Linked DNA regions of Drosophila melanogaster. The protein of the gene in region 2 interacts with the protein of the main gene of each other region in a pairwise test. Each region holds a gene or a part of one and is shown on either strand. Other genes may lie near its edges.

Region 1 (8,422 bases), on a different chromosome or scaffold from region 2:
CAGCAGCAGCAACAGCATCAGCAACCGGGAGTACATAGCCAACCGTTTGGCACCCAGACAAGTCCGCCCGTTCAGGGTCAGCAGTTCAAGACCTACTATGCGCCGCACCAGCAGACGCATCCCCAGCAAAAGCAGCAGACCCCGCCGCCAGCTCCACAGACCCCGGGTGGCACCTATGTGCGCACCATTCCCATCTTTGTTGAGGGTCGCTCCGAGCCCATCATCAATGCCCACAAGGAGATACCGAACCAGAACGCTCCGCCCAGTGCTCAGGCCCAAGCTCAGGCACAGGCATATGCGCAGGCGCAGCCACAGGCACACGCTGCTCCACAGCAGCACAACAGACCGACGCCACTAAACACCCAGGCGCAACCTGAGCAGCAGGTGCCAGTTGAGGGAGCCGCTGGATTGCCGCCACAGACACCACATACCCTCAACTCTATTAACAAAATCCAGGACATTCAGCGCGACGTACTGGAGCTCATGGGCAAGGTGGAGCAGTTCAAGGGAACGCGCGAGGAGAAGGAGTACGCCTACCTGGACGAGATGCTGACCCGCAACCTGCTTAAGCTAGACACCATCGACACAAACGGCAAGGACAGCATTCGTCTGGCCCGAAAGGAGGCTATCAAGTAAGTGACCAGAGTCACCAGAGCTCATTATCGAATTTAATTAATTCAATGATTGTTCCTTGCAGATGCATTCAGGCTTCGATAAATGTGCTGGAGGCCAAGGCCGAGGAGAATGCCAGAGCGGCATCAGGAGCAGCACCTGCACCTAGCGCAACAGCTCCAGCGGTTGACACAGGTGCAGTTGCTGCCTCGGAAGCGGCCGGACAAAATGCGGAGCCAGTGACTCCACAGCCACAGGATGCTACAAAGATGCAGGAACCCATCCCTCTACCAGCACCACCAAATGCTGCTGCCGTCGAGGGCGCAGCTGCTTCGGAAGCCACCGCCGCGGAGGCGACACAGTCCGCCGTTCAGTCGGAGACAACCACAACGACGTCGGAATGATGAACACAGCGCCTCTACAAGGCGACCGTTTCGAAGCAGCTACGCAAATTAACCAAATTTAAGTGACAACAGGCGGAGGATAGAGAAGAGTTCCGATCCCGACTCATCAACGGACAGCGACAGACTTGATTTTACTGAATTCAAAGTAAATGTGAAAGTGAATTTGATGTGTAATGTGAATGTGAATAGGAGGAGCTGGCGACGAATCTTTGCTAGTATTTCGTAGAAGCACAACCGTACTATCTAAACATATGCAAATCTCACGTGTCAACCACTCAACACCCACTCATCCCCACACATCATAACACACACACACACACACACACACCACACAGCGTAGATTATAGGCTAGTAAGAGAATTAATATTGAGAAAATGTGCCTGCATAGAATTCGGAAGTTAACAGAGCGAAAACGATTTGGCAACAAGGGTTGCTTCACTTAAAAGAGCTGATTATGTTTAAGCGATAGATGATCACCATGAGGATATTTTTGAACCTGAGTCCAGTTTTTATACGTAAATTGTACCGATGAGCAGCAACAGGGGCAGCAAGCCGCCGTATGATCTCATACAAATCTACAGCAGACGCGCTTGCTTGCCACAGGCCAACTCATCCATCCAATCACGCCGAGTGCACCACTCACGGCTTTGCTGCAGGTGAATTGTTAAACGAACGTAAACTCTTATAGAAAAAAAAAAAAAACTATGATAACTATTTATGCTACTAATTAATGCGAAAATAAATGTAGATATTGTTGACCATAAAACTGTGTTATCCTTCGGTTGCACAATTATCAAAGTTTATTATCGAAAAGGTTATAAATCTCGATCAATAATACATATACAAAAGAACCCTGGATCGGGAATGGAGCGGGCCTTAAATACTGACTAAGTGGTTACTTTGTATGTATCCTAAGAACATTTTAAAAGGACGCAACACGGCTTCGGCAATCGAGGCCAAACAATGATATAATATGTATACAAATGGGAACAACGTATGATAGGGTTGCATATGTGGCATGGATTATACGTTATATAATAATATGTATGTAGATAAAAAACAGACGCGTGATGTACGATAAAAATCTTATAGTCGCATTTAGTCATCGTTGAATCTCTTCTAGGTGTATCGCATTATTGTTCAAGATTATGGGGTAAAGTGTTTAAGTAGCTATAGTCCGGATCCAAAATATAGTTGCTAGCTGCATTGGTGTAGATATTTAGCAAAAGGGCGTCCCAGCTGCTTGGCACTTGGGTTTCCCTAGTTGATGATCTCGACATAGTTTGCCGGAAACAGTCCATAGGTTCCATCAGGGCCCAGTCCCTGCCACCATCCCTCGTCGATTTGATCGATATGCGTAATGACATCGCCTGGATCGAAAGTGATCTCTGTCTCGTCGGCTGCCTGGTAATCGTATAGAGCTCGTGCCCGTTGTCCCAGATCGCCTAAGGTCTCCTGGCAGATAAAATCGTCCTCGTTTACCAAATCCGTTACTACAAAAAACACTCGTGTTTAAATATAGAACGAACAACGGGTCATAGCTATGGTTTACGTACATGCATTCCTTTCGAGTGTGCTCATGCCGCTCGACTTGACCGATTGCGACTGCTGCACGGTGACTGACACCTTGGTGCGGACCTCCTCTTCCTGTTCCTGGGAAACAGCGGTGTCTGTTTCATTGGAAGAGGTGGTCTCGTCGGGCGACTGAGACTGCAGCGAGTTCGATTTACTATGGGGTGATCGCTTGATAGTCGAGAACTGTTCGCTCTCATGGGCCAGTGGCAAATCGTCTACCGGTTGCGACTCCTCCACCTCCGCTATTGTGGAAACAACCTCGGCAGCCACGGGAGCAGCAGGAGCTATAGCTGGAGCGGGGACTACTGGTTCGGGAGCCTCTACAGGCAACGGTTTGGCAGGGGACGCAGCGCGTGGTGGTGAAGGCACAGGTGCATCTTGAGGCTGGTTTTGGTTGAAAACGTTGATGCGCTGGGCAATCGAGTTGCGAGCTGGTTTGGCCGGCGGTTGCGTATTTAGTCTATGAATCAAAAGAGCAGTTTATTTCTGATACAACAAAATAGGAGAGGGGCAAGGACGCACTTAGACTGAAGTTGTCCCTCGCTCGTGTGCTTTGTAAACATGGCCTTGGCAGCACCCACACGAGAGCCAATCAATTCGCGGGCCTCCTGGTTCCTCGCCTGACGCATGCGCTCCGCATCGGTCAGATTGTTGGCAAATCCTGGTGCAGTTTTCTCAGGGCTCAAAGGTTGCGGTGACCTGTTTGATAAAAAAAGAATTTTTACTACCGAGAAGGTCAAATTCCGATGTTTTTGTTTACGTTTTGATGGGTACGTGGGCCGGCTGGAGCTTGGTGGTGCTTATGACCAACTTCTCCCGCTCCTTGTGCTCCTTCTCCTCGCGACTACGTTGCTCCTGCTCCAACTTTTGAAGCTCAAGCCGCTTGGATTCCTTCTCTGCCTCCTGTCGCAATTTCTCCTCGGCCTCCTCCTTTTTCCAGAAGTCCTGCATAACGCTGGCGTTTAACTCCTTGGTGGGAATGACCCGAGTATAGTTGGTTCCCACCGGCGCCTTCTGCTCCTCCATGGCGCCTCGAGGTTCCTTAAAGCTGTAGGCTGAGCTCACGGTGCTCAGCTTCTTGAGAAGCCGATCCAAGTCAATATCGTCCTCGTTCCGGGCATTGATGGTAAGGTGAGCGCCGGACAGCAAATTACTCACATCACGTATGTGGTTGGCGCAGGTACCCTTGCGTAGAACAGGTGCGCCCTCGCCCTGAATGGGAGCACAGTCAGATTATGCGTAGCTCGATTAGATAAGGGCGCCGTCGGACTCACCTGCCAGTTGATGAGCAAGTACTTGTTGAGGCCCGTTTTGGGGTCTTCGATTCGGACGAAGGCGTACATAATCTTGCCGCTATTTAGGTCTTCGTTTAGCTCATCCACGCCGCCATCGCCGGTGGCCACCACCTTCAGCTCGTTGGTCTGACCCTCGTAGCCAAAGAGGGACCAGTTCGTGTCGCTCTTATCGTCCAGCACATCCTTCCAGGCGGCCACTATTTGCGCCCGATTCTTCTCGAAGCTGACGGCCATAATTCCAGACTGACAACGACCTTGAGCAGCGAGATCTTGGCCAGCTTTCACTGGGTCGCCTTATCGGGGTGCCCTCTTCGTCAAGTGAAAGCCAACGCCTCGCGAAGACTCCAAATTTGCTTGGGTTGTCTTGTCTTAAATTTTAATTAAGTGCAGCCGCCTCACAAAGGCACACAGACGTACACAAACACAAGCAGAACAATGGGATAGTGGGTGATTGATTTTCCAGTATGTGCGAATTTCCAGCGGCTTTCCAAATTCCACTTTTCCACCTTAATCCTTCGAGTTATGCGTGCAGAAATAGGTTTAACTTAACGCTCAAGCAATTGCAACTCCCCAATTAACCAATTTGATTGGAATTTTAAAATATTCGATCGCTGGCGGCGACCCACACACTTTTTTTGCAACAACAAACTAGAGCTGGGACAACAGGCGATGTCTAATCGATACTTTCAATGTTGCCACTGTGCCGCTATCGATGGTTTTTACTTGTAAAATTGAAATTAAATAACAGAGGTTTTAGAACGTATCTAGTAACGTGTACCTCGTCTAATAGGCTTTGATTTACTTTATCGTTTTTCTTATAGGTGTTAGTCGTAAAGTTTCAACTATATATATAAGCATTATCTTCTTTTTTAATAATCACACATACGAACATTTTTCGTTTTTATATTTTATTCAACTTTTTTGTATCTCTATCCAATGGAAAAAACTGGTATATGGTGTTTATTCATATCATAACCTTTATATTTGCTTATAATATACTTTGCAAATACTATTGACAAATAATATGTTTTAGGTTGTTAGGTATGTTTACATTGTTTGTACATTAAGTTTTCTAAAAATGGTTCGAGTCAACGCTAATGTTATATGTGGGCTTAAGTCACCGCTGAACAATATTAGTGTTGGTAAGGCTGAGCAAATATCGATGTGAATACAGACTGATGACTTTGGCCATCGATGTTACATCGACGTATCTTCCAGCTCTAACGCGAACTGAACTATTATTGCAATTATACCAAAAATCATCGAACCCCCGCTTTTCCCAGCGCAAATCGTGAAAAGTCGGTGAAAATTAGCGAGGATAAATCGCCGTACAGCTGAGGAGCAGGATTCCAGCGAGGATTTGAAGGCGCACACCTGGCGAAAGGTAAAGTGGCTCCACTGTTGTGGCCTGATATTTACGTATATTAATGTGGAAACTAGACGTCGGATGCTGGCTGGCTGTATGGTTGGCTGACTGGCTAGCAACAATATGGCTCTGGCTGCTGTACTTTGGTCATTGCCGAAATATTCAACGGAGCAGCCCCCGAACTCTTGGTCTTGGGGCCTCCGAAAAAAACCAGTCCCAAGTGCATCGTGGCCCCTCACCGCCCCGCCACCGTGCATGTCCCCTCATCAGCATCCACTTCCACAGCTTTCCGATCAGATGGCAACTGTTTGGCAGCAGGATTTCGCCTTCGTCTTACTTGTTTCAAGTCAGCCAGTCAGGCAGTCAGTCTTTGTTCGCTTTGGTTTGGTTTTGGCTTTGGTTTTGGTTTTGTTCCATTTACATATATGCCAATGCCAGGCTCGGGCGATATATCCAGTTTTTCACTTGGATATCTCGGTGTATATATTGTAAGGCACACATACGAGAGAGATGTGTGTGCGGCTTAAGTGTGTGTGGTGCGGCTGTTCATGGTCAATTTCTTTGCATTTTCAGTGTGAAACTCATGCGGTGCAGATCGAGTCGGTGCAGGAGCAGCGAAACCAAGTCCAAGTCCAACTCCAAATCCACGTCCAATCCCACGTAGAAGCGTTGAGATCATCATGGAAACGGCGCTGGATGTACTCTCTAGAGCGGCGACCATGGTGCAAAACAATCCCAGCGGTAAGTGAACAAACCGATCCGACCCAGACTTACAGACCAACAAAAAAACACCAACTGGAGCCATTAACCAATTCCGTTTAAAAAGAGTCGACAATTTTTATGATTTCAACTTGGCCAACAACATGCCCTGATGTACTCAACCCAAACGGGGCAGTGGGGGTGGGGGTTATACACAGCTCTTTTATGGCTTTCACCTTTGAGCCAAGAAGACTCGGAAAGTATTTCAACAATGTGTCAGACACAGAAAGAAATGCCCAGTAATATGAACATCTTGCGTCTAAAACATTCATGGGAATGTAAAGCAGTGATTCAAATTAGTAGTAGCTCTTTACAAATTTAAAATAATTTCTGAATGGATTTAATGTGAATGAACTTGGAAAACTCTACAAGTCTGCTAAACTGATAAGTCTTAATAGATGTCAAGATTTTTGCTTACATAAAAACATCATTATATTCTAGACTATCAAAGTCACATTATATAAAGAAACAAAATGTAACAAAACGTTTTGCAAACGATTTCATGCCTAGTTAATGAATTCCCAAATGTAATCTGATTATTATTCACATACTTCGTATGCTACCAATCAGAGGTGCTGTTTGTTATCACATTTTGCCATATTACATTTAATCTTTGAATTCAGATTTGCTATTGGGCTCTAACTCCTCTCAGTGTATCCAGTCGCAGACCCTTCTGCGTGCTCCAGTCATGATTCACGATTGCAACAGTGCCCCCTTTCCGGCTGACATCTTCCTCTTTGTAACCGCGATCCCCCAGTCAGACAGTTTCTTCCGAAATTCTACCCACCCGGCGACATCGATGAGTGCGACAATGGACGCAAGCGGATTCCTGGCCGCGAACACTGTGCGAACGCATAAACACTCGACGAATCCGAGAAATGTTTTATTTTCGTACAAAAAAACGACAACAAAACATTCCAACAAAATGAGTTTGCGGCGCATTCCGATTCCGATTTTCATAAATGTGTCAAATGCCGCATTTTCGATGGCAGAGAGCGGCAGTCGAGCGGTTGGCATATGTGAAGTATCGTCGGCCACCGGACCCGGGGACCCCTTATCAATAATAGCCAGCCAGCCAGCCAGTCAGCCAGTCGTTTTCGTAGTGCCACTGCGGCTGACGAGCACGAATTGTCGACTTGATGTGGCTGTGGATGGGGCATTCGTTCGTTCATTTGTTCGTCCGTAGTGCATATTTCTGTACTGGCGACATATCTTTTATATGTATATTTGCAATTTGCATTCTCTGCCCACCATGCGACACACCATGGCACACCACCCAGAGCGGCAAACCGCGTGACATGCCAAAGAAATGGCCGGCAGAGAGTGAGTGGCATATAGTTGTGGTATGGTATTCAGTGCGCTGGATCGCAAATATGTGTATAATTGTTAAACAAAAAGGCAATTTGATTAGGCATGCTCTCCGGGTAATTGCACAATTTATAATGGGGGTAGCAACGATAAGCACATAACCGGCTGTTTGGGCTGTGATTTCGTCCCCTCCCCCCATTTGCCACTGATAACATGCAAATCATGCCTGCCCAGCCATGGAATTCCGATAATAGCCGCCCCAATTTATGTTTATGTTTGCCTCAGTTTCAGTTTCATTTTTCTGTTTATTTACCCATTGGCGAACGGCTTTATCAGCCATAATTTCTGAATATTTGACAAATTCCGCAGCCGATATACATATATGCGGTACAGCTGTCAACACAGCGAGCTGAATTTATGAGATAGCCCCCGCCGATACAGAAAGAGAAATGGTTCCGATGTTCGAATAAATATTTGAAGACGCCGCCGCCGTCGCCGCGCGATTCGTTGGCGATTTGTGCGCGATTTTTTGGCCATGAACAATTGGCCGGCCAACAATTGAGTTCTCAATGCAGCGGCCTTAAAATCAAAATCAGGCAGTTAGACCAATTTTTTTTCGTCTCTTGTGATTTAGCGAAGATGAGCGATTTGATTGATCGGCAGCAGGCAAAATGCAAAATGTCGTTAACCTGCGCATGATTAATGGAAATTTGTCATAATCGAACGAGGCACTCGAATTCTGGATCTTCATAAATCAACAGCGTAGAAAAAAGCGGGTCGATCGAGCCGTTAATTAAGCGGCCCTTCCATTGTTTGCCGAGGAGCTAACTCTATGGGCCAGGCCATAATTAATAAACAAATAGTTACACAAATTGTGGCCTGCCTGCCATCACAGCCATCACAGCCAGCCCAGCCAGCCCAGCCAGCCAGCCTGGGTACAAAAGAAAAATTGTGGCAATTTCGAGCGCGGCTGGCCGGGCACAGCTGGAGATGGACACCAACCGTTGGCTGGGTGAGCATGGTACTGGGGACGGTTCATCAGGTAATTTACATGGCCTTTCAATTCTCCGTTTTGGCCAGTGCCAGTGCCAACTCTGTGGGCC
Region 2 (7,943 bases):
TTTGTTACCGCAACTGTATATTCTCGATCAGGATCAATACCCGACTCGATCTGGCCATGTCCGTATGAACGAGGTCTCAATTTTTTCTGCAAATCGATAAAAAATTTACAAGACTAATACAAATGTGAAAAAATATCTACACATTTTTCAAAAGTTTGGGCGTCGCAGTTTTGTACGGTTTGTGGTCGTTAGAGTGTTTATATGGATCAATAAAGGTTGCGTAATCTCAACCTTCTTGTTTTTATAGTTCCTAAGATCTCAACGTTCATACGGACGGACAGTTCCAGATCGACTCTACTATTGATCCTGATCGAGAATATTATTCTATTTATGCTCGGAAACGCTTCTTTCTGCTTGTTACATACTTTTCAAACAATATAGTCTACCTTTTTACTCTACGAGTAAAGGGTATTTTTTATACGAAGTTAAATATATTTATATCAATCCTACAAGCTGAATAACGGGTATATAATTGTCAACGAAATCGGCCATAGCGTTTTTATTATTCTTTTTGTATATTTTTGTGTTGACGCCAAGTATATTGATGTGGTCAAGATTAATTAAGTTAAGTTACATACTCGAAAAATTTCTGGTCGCCAACATTGTCGTAAGTATGGCTCCCTTTAGCTTGCGCCGCGCATTAAATTTCTTGAGACAGTCTACGGTTTCTTGGCGATGCACAACGGAAGCCACACGTTCGCGTTGCTGTAACAATGTTTTTTCATTATCTTTATGTAAACCTAAGAGAAAAATTAGTCTGCACTTACACAAATCCACGGATGTTTTAAAGCCTCAGCTGCAGTTATTCGTTTATTTGGATTAACGGTTAGCATTTGATTAATAAGATTTTTAGCTTCTGGAGTAACCGTATCCCATTCTGGAGACGGATACTAAAATAAAGTTATATTTAAATATAATGAATCCACATAAATTATTATAGTTTCCGTACATCATAAGCTCCCGCTTTTATCTGCGAGTACAGTCGGTGCTGATCTTCATCCCAAAAGGGTGGATAACCGACAAGAAGTATGTAAAGAATAACTCCTGAGGAAAAATAAAATAGTTGTTGAACTGTGTAACCGACTGCCGTTTGGCATGCATGTGCATGCAAATGTTACAACAATTATAATTGCTTACCACATGCCCATATGTCTACCGATTTCCCATAGGGCTCCTTTTTCAATACCTCAGGAGACAGATATCCTGGTGTGCCGGCAAATCCAAACCAAGCCTGATGATCGCCTTGAACTTCAATGGCTAGACCAAAGTCAGCGAGTTTCACTGCTGCACCCTTAGCCTTACTAGCTAATAGTAAATTCTCTGGTTTCAGATCTCGGTGCACCACACCATTTTGGTGGCAGTGATTGACCGATTCCAATATTTGTTGAATACAATGTGATGCATCAGCTTCTGAATAAAATTCGCGTGCAACGATATCTTCAAAAAGTTCACCACCGGTTACACTGCAAATGTATGTAGGCATAGTCAAATTTTGCGATTGAAGCTCTAAATTTAAATTTAGGTTATATTTAAGTTGCGACAGCAGAAAACACATCTCTAATATAACAAAAATATATTGCGGCTAAAACTTGATTCATATTATATTATATATATTATATTGCGGCTTTAAAATTTGATTCATATTCATATTATAGTATGAACGAACGGAGGGAAAAGGATGAAGTATGAATCTCAATAAACAATAGTCGAGTCATTGCCACATTTACAAGCATTTGTTAGAAACTCATATTTTTAAAACACTTTTGGGGATAGGCAATTTAAATATTTGGTAAGGAGTCTATGCAGGTTAATGCTTACAGGTCAAAAACAAGGTAGTGATAGTTCTCCTCCTGTATACTGTCATGTAGCCGCACTGAAATTGTACATATTAACAATTTATTAGTTGTATACATTTGTATTTAATGTTTTTTTTTTACGGATGACAATGATTATAAGCCTTAAAGGCTATAAAAATATATGTTTATAAAATACATTTTGAACATATTATATATTTTGTCGGTGACGCTGGAGGAAGTGATGTTTCTAGATTTGAACTGTCCGTGTAAATAACTGTTTTGTTAGGTTACGCTTTTAGTGAGAGGAAAGTCTATTGCATGAGTTCGGTTTTTGCTGTTCTGCAAGTTTTTATAATTATTATAATTATAAATTACTTGGAAGATTTGTTATTGGAGAGTAGGGAGGGCGAGGAATGGAATGTTGCTTGCAGATGCGGATTGATATATCTACTAAACTCTATTTTATTTTTTTCTTCGTTGTGTTACCGTGGACGTCAAACCATCCTTTATCAGGATCACATTGCAAGTCATCAACACTACTGGGGTCTAAGCCGTGATTGAATGTACATATAAAAATTATGTATAGTAGATGTTCAAAGTGATATTAGGCCATGTTCGTCTACTTTTATGTAGATCATACATCTTCAGAAAAACGTATCTTTAAAGAATAAGTAAGTAAATTATATTTATATACACGTTGCATACCTATGTTGGGATGGTGTAACTTTCTGCAGATCCTTGCTTCACGTTCCAGTTTTTGAAAGTCTAAAAGCAAAAAAAAAAAATATATATATATATATATTATAAGCATCTCTTATATGCATACATGCATGTGTACAAATATGTTAATAAGAGGTTTTTGGCGAGCAAGCAAATGGTTCTCTCTAAGCCCAAAATTTGTCCCAGCTGTCATGCTCAAACTTCTTAAAAGTTATTTAATATATTTTTTGTAAATTACACACTTTGCCAATACTGCTATTCCAAAATTATTTTGGCCACGTCTTGGCAGTAAAAATTTATTAATTACTAAATAGCACAACACCAAGAAATACAACTTAATTACTGTAGAACTATTTGATACTTGTGTGGCAAATAGATAGGGACGACGAAGATATTACACAAAAAGAATGGTCCCTTCCAAAAGCGTACTTAGCAAAAAGAAAGTACATTTTACAGGAAAACTTTTTGACAGTCAATGTTTACTACTGATTTCTTACGATATGCCATATCGCCGTTGAAAAAACGGCATCAGATACCAGTTACTCAGCTAGTGTGAATGGGAACGCGAAATTTCATCATTTTTCTAGGATAACGATAGATATTGGGGAATAAAATAAGAAAAAAGTTTAAAAATTGGTCCAAAGTGTGGACGTGACCGGTTGGCGGCTTTTAAGCAAATCGATAGAAGTTAAAGGGCGTTAGAATGGGCGTGGCAAACTTTTTTTTGAGCAAATCGATAGAAATTTACAAGACCAATACAAATGTGAAAAAATATCAACACATTTTTCAAAAGTGAGGGCGTGGCGCATGTGGCAACATGGGTCAACAAACTTGCGCTGCGTATTTGTTTCTAAAATCTGTATGCCTTCTAGCTTGTATAGTTTCTGAGATCTCGACGACCATACGGAGAGACGGACTCGGCTATTGATCCTGATCAAGAATATACATACTTTCCAAGGATCAAGGATCTAGTATACCCTTTTACTGTACTCGACGAATTACCTAAAAACAGCACTTAGTTTCCCTACATGCGTGTGCATAGCATAAATGCGTACATATGTGATTTATAACCTACATAGAACACAGAAAGCCTTACCTCTGGCAGTTAATTTTTTTGTATTGATAATTTTTGCAGCAAATTCAAAGCCAGTTGACTTTTGGACACATCTTTTCACAATTGAGAATGCTCCTCTGAAATGTTAATAGACGGGTTATTATAATAAATTTATTAACCTTGAGTTTGTTAAACTTACTTTCCCAACTCTTCTTTGATGTCGTAATTGTCCGAAAAACGCGTACAGGCTGCTGGTGCAGCCATCGCGATGGCACACTTAAGAAAATCTATTGCGACTAAAGATCTTCAACTGCTCTACAGATTTCACTTTTCAGGAGTTTTATTTCTTGTTTTCTAAACGATTTTTAAATATAAGATAATAAATCAGTTTTACAAAAATTATACAAAAAATTGCTTACAACGTACAAACATACATACATTGTTGTACCATTTAGGTACCATGGGCCTTCTCTAAATATTATTTTGTTATAAAGTAATCACTAGCTGGTTCAAAAGTTTCAGACAGCGTTGGTTCTATGGTATCCAAAGGGGTACTGCATGTATTTGAGAATCCCCCGGCCATCATAGTATAAACTTGCATTCTTCTCTGTATAAGATCGGGCATGAAGCTCGTAAAGTAAAGCTCGCCAATGTAATTCAGAAGTATTCAGAGCACAGATTAGGTAACTTATTTCATAGAAACACATATCGGTAAAATTAAAAGAATGTCTCGCTATTCCAATTTTAAAATTCTATATTACTCAGTGGAGTCGATGCAAAACAGACCAGCAATCTACATATAGTTCTTCAAATTTTAAATGGTTTGTAATAATATAAGGGTTATGTTATTTTAAACAGCCGCAGGTTTCTTATTGAGTTGGTAATTCAAGTGAGTTCTCTTAAAGCACGTTGCTTAAACTAGAAAACTCGACCTCCATTTTGAAGATTTTGGTGGTTGAAGTTTTTTCATGTGATCATGAAATCATACGAAAAAACACCATACTTCGCAAGAAACAACATGTGCGGGGGCACAAATTGAAAAATGTCTGAAAATGTATTATCCTATCTCAAACGTTGAATCTGATACCTTGTTGTTGCCTAGAGATGACATGACATTCGATAGACGAAAAATGTAATAAACTCGATTATTAAACATAGGGGTCAACTCCTTACCAAAGCTACACTTAACTGTTCCCCATGCACATCAAAATAGCAAAGGTATCTACATATGTAAAACCATAACTCCGCGGTTAGTGCAGTGTAAACGGGCCTTACATCGATATGCATATCAACCACTCAGTGGCGTTTTCAATATCAAATTAAACTATGGCCCTGAAAAAATACGAATCCATTGCAGAATTAAAACAAGAGAAAACGCTATAGTAAAGCTTTTCGACTATCAGATAATTGTTACTCAGCTAGTGGAAGTATGAACGAGAATATTAAACATTTTTCTGGCGTACCGATTAAAATTGGCAAAACAATTTCAACAATTTTTTGAAAAAAAATAAACGAAAACTTAAAAAGGGCATGGCACAATCTTAACTTTCTAGCTTTTATAGTTCCTGAGATCGTGGAGTTCATACAGATAGACGGACATGAAAATTCGACTCGGCTATTGATCCTGGTGAAGACTATATATAGTTTAAACGCTCGGAAACGCGTCGTTCTGCAAGTTACATACTTTTCAACGAAGCTAGTGTGATAGCCAGCTGATCAAGAGCAGCAACAATCATTACTATTAACCTATATTACGTATTGAGTAAAGGAATAAAAAATGGAAATTATTTTTTCGTTTTACTTTCCAGTTATTATAGTTTCAGCGGTAACAGCGTTGATACGGACGACAGGCATGGGATAAAGCATGCAAATTTGTTTTCTTGAGAACCAGACATTTAATCCGCCTAAAACTGTAACTCCAATTTTTTTGAAAAATAATTTGCTTCTTTCAGTCTTGAAATCTTTTATTTCGATTTTGCCCACACATTTACAAAGTGTTTTGTTTTTTTGTTTCATTATTTTTATTTATTCTTTTATTTTGCACATTTCTGTCGGGTTGTTAAATAGTCGATGAACTACTGTCACGTTCTCTCTTGTTTTATACCTCTCCGTGAGGTTTGTTTTTTGCCATATCCGGTAACAGCGGTACTGTTAGTTTTTAGTTTGTTGTACGTGTTTTTTTAAAACTAGACCCAATCACCATGAAAAAGAAGTGTTTCCCTGGAAAAGGTATATGTAGACCCTTAATTGCACCCTCGCAATTTTGAAATAACATACTTATAATATAATATTGTCAAGTCAAATGTTACGAAAAGTTTAAAATTTGTGATCAAAACTTTATTATCTTTGTTTTAAACCAGATATATTTAACTCTCATTGACATATTTCAATCAATTAAAAAAAGCGACAGGTGTTTTTGGTTAATTTCTTAAAAAAGAAAATCCTGATTATGAGAATGTATCTGGGAAGCAGTTATATATATACGTACATATATATGTAGGTATGTATCCTTTGCAGGTTACATGCGTTGAAGCTTTTTTTGATGAGCTTAATGGTAAAACGCCCCACCCCTTTTAGCAAGGATATTTCAGGGTCTTGGAAATTACTTGTTGCAAATTATACTTTTTCATTAAATCATATAAACACGCGCTATGTACGCGAATTAAATATACTATTTGGATGAGACCTTCAGAAATGTTTTACTAAACCCATTTTTCGGACTAGGAGGGACGATATATAGAATGTGAAACACTTTTTTAAAATTAAAAAAAAAGCATTTATCATAACTCGTAAGTATTTAGGTATGTTTTAAACTTTCTTGTAGATATCAAGAGTAATTTGTAAGATGTATGTATATTGTGCAATAACAATTACAAAATTTTTAAGTGTCATATATTTATATTTACTGCGTAACTGAACAAAGGCACAAAATGGGGTACATACTGATGTTGTATAAATGTCCTTTTAAGATATAAGTGAAGCGTGTGAATATATATATTAACTTTACAATATGCAATCGTTATACGCGCGAAAAAAGTATTTAATATTAGTTGGCATATACACAGTAAGAGACCATACATATATCAAATATATGTATATGTGTATACTCATGTATATATTAGAATCTGTGTTGACCCAGAATTGTATCAGGTATTATAGATACGTAAACTTATATAAATATACATATATATAAAAATACATAAGTGAGTACATATGTATGTATATTAAATCCAATTTGATACCTATACTTGATGTGTTCTTTTCAATTGCGAATAACAATATTTTAAACTTCAGGAGATCTGATAAATGTTTGTTCAAAATGCTTATAAGAGTATTTAAAAAGCTATATGTATATGTTTTTAACGAGCTGGGAGAACACGAAACACACAGCTAGATACCGAAATTTTTAGAACGTCTGTTTTCTTGAAAATCGAATTCAATACTGACTAACAAGATTTTGCGGCCGCGTTTGATTCGATGAACTGCTAGAGAGAAAAGCTTTTTCGTCTCATAATGTCGTTAAATCGAAAACTTTTGCCAACGACGGTTCGTTTCAGGAGCGTCTGCGCATTAATTTGTGCACATATCACTATACTGAACTACCTCCGCATTAAACATTATTGGGTTGATTGGAACTCTAAAGTAATATATTTCATATTATCTTTTTATTTTAGGCCGTGATTCCATAAAACTGCCCACATAAATGCTCCATAGTTAGACTAATAAGTACTCAAACCAACGTTTCACAACACTTTGTCATGCGCACCGTGACCTAAAATGTTACAAAAAGAAAAATAAATATTTAAATTTAAATTTAATTTTATTTAAAGTAAAATAAATGAAATCCTTAATTTGTAATCATTTCATTTCAGTCTGTTGGAGCTCTTCAATTTACAAATGAATTAGAATTTAAAACTGATATCTGAAACGCACAAGGTATGATTACATTAGCCGTTTTACCCCATTCGTCAATCTGTGTAAACCGCCTCGATCTCAAGAACTATAAATGCTAGGAAGTTGAAACTAAGCAAGTACATTTTAGAGACATAGACTCTTACTCTGACAAAGGAAAATTGACGAGTAAACTGTTTAAAAAAATTTGAGTTTTTCGTAACAACAAAAATAGTAAAGCCGCAATAAAAGAGATGACAGATGTATTTAAACTATTACAGGGCGATATCTTCCATTATGACCTCTTGATTTTCACAGACCCTAATTTCCCAATGCAATCTAAAACACTATAATCAAATATCGTAAAATATTTAAAATAAACCATATTTTCATTGTTATTATTCATAAATAGTTGCAGTACACATACAGTTTGTCAAAAAAGTGTTTAGACACTGTGAAAAAAGTTAAATTTTTGACTTTAA

Evidence for each region. The genes of interacting proteins can lie anywhere in the genome.
Region 1: the proteins of CaMKII (region 2) and Abp1 interact in a two-hybrid assay, tested with the Drosophila melanogaster proteins (one large-scale study listed by BioGRID).

The regions. Positions count from the first base shown.
Region 1 is NT_037436.4:13,481,738-13,490,159, forward strand, and holds Abp1 (actin binding protein 1), read right to left. Parts: upstream 4,544-8,422; 5' UTR 4,121-4,543; coding exon 3,866-4,120; intron 3,804-3,865; coding exon 3,352-3,803; intron 3,291-3,351; coding exon 3,114-3,290; intron 3,052-3,113; coding exon 2,573-3,051; intron 2,510-2,572; coding exon 2,277-2,509; 3' UTR 1,796-2,276; downstream 1-1,795. Other genes in the region: stv (starvin), read left to right, coding at 1-632, 698-1,016.
Region 2 is NC_004353.4:1,046,686-1,054,628, forward strand, and holds the start of CaMKII (Calcium/calmodulin-dependent protein kinase II), read right to left. Parts: upstream 4,694-7,943; 5' UTR 4,658-4,693; exon of another isoform or gene 4,009-4,657; intron 3,925-4,008; 5' UTR 3,835-3,924; coding exon 3,770-3,834; intron 3,708-3,769; coding exon 3,613-3,707; intron 2,562-3,612; coding exon 2,502-2,561; intron 1,874-2,501; coding exon 1,819-1,873; intron 1,464-1,818; coding exon 1,138-1,463; intron 1,045-1,137; coding exon 950-1,044; intron 891-949; coding exon 768-890; intron 706-767; coding exon 579-705; intron 1-578. UniProt on the Drosophila melanogaster protein: A key regulator of plasticity in synaptic physiology and behavior, alterations in its activity produce pleiotrophic effects that involve synaptic transmission and development as well as various aspects of behavior. Directly modulates eag potassium channels.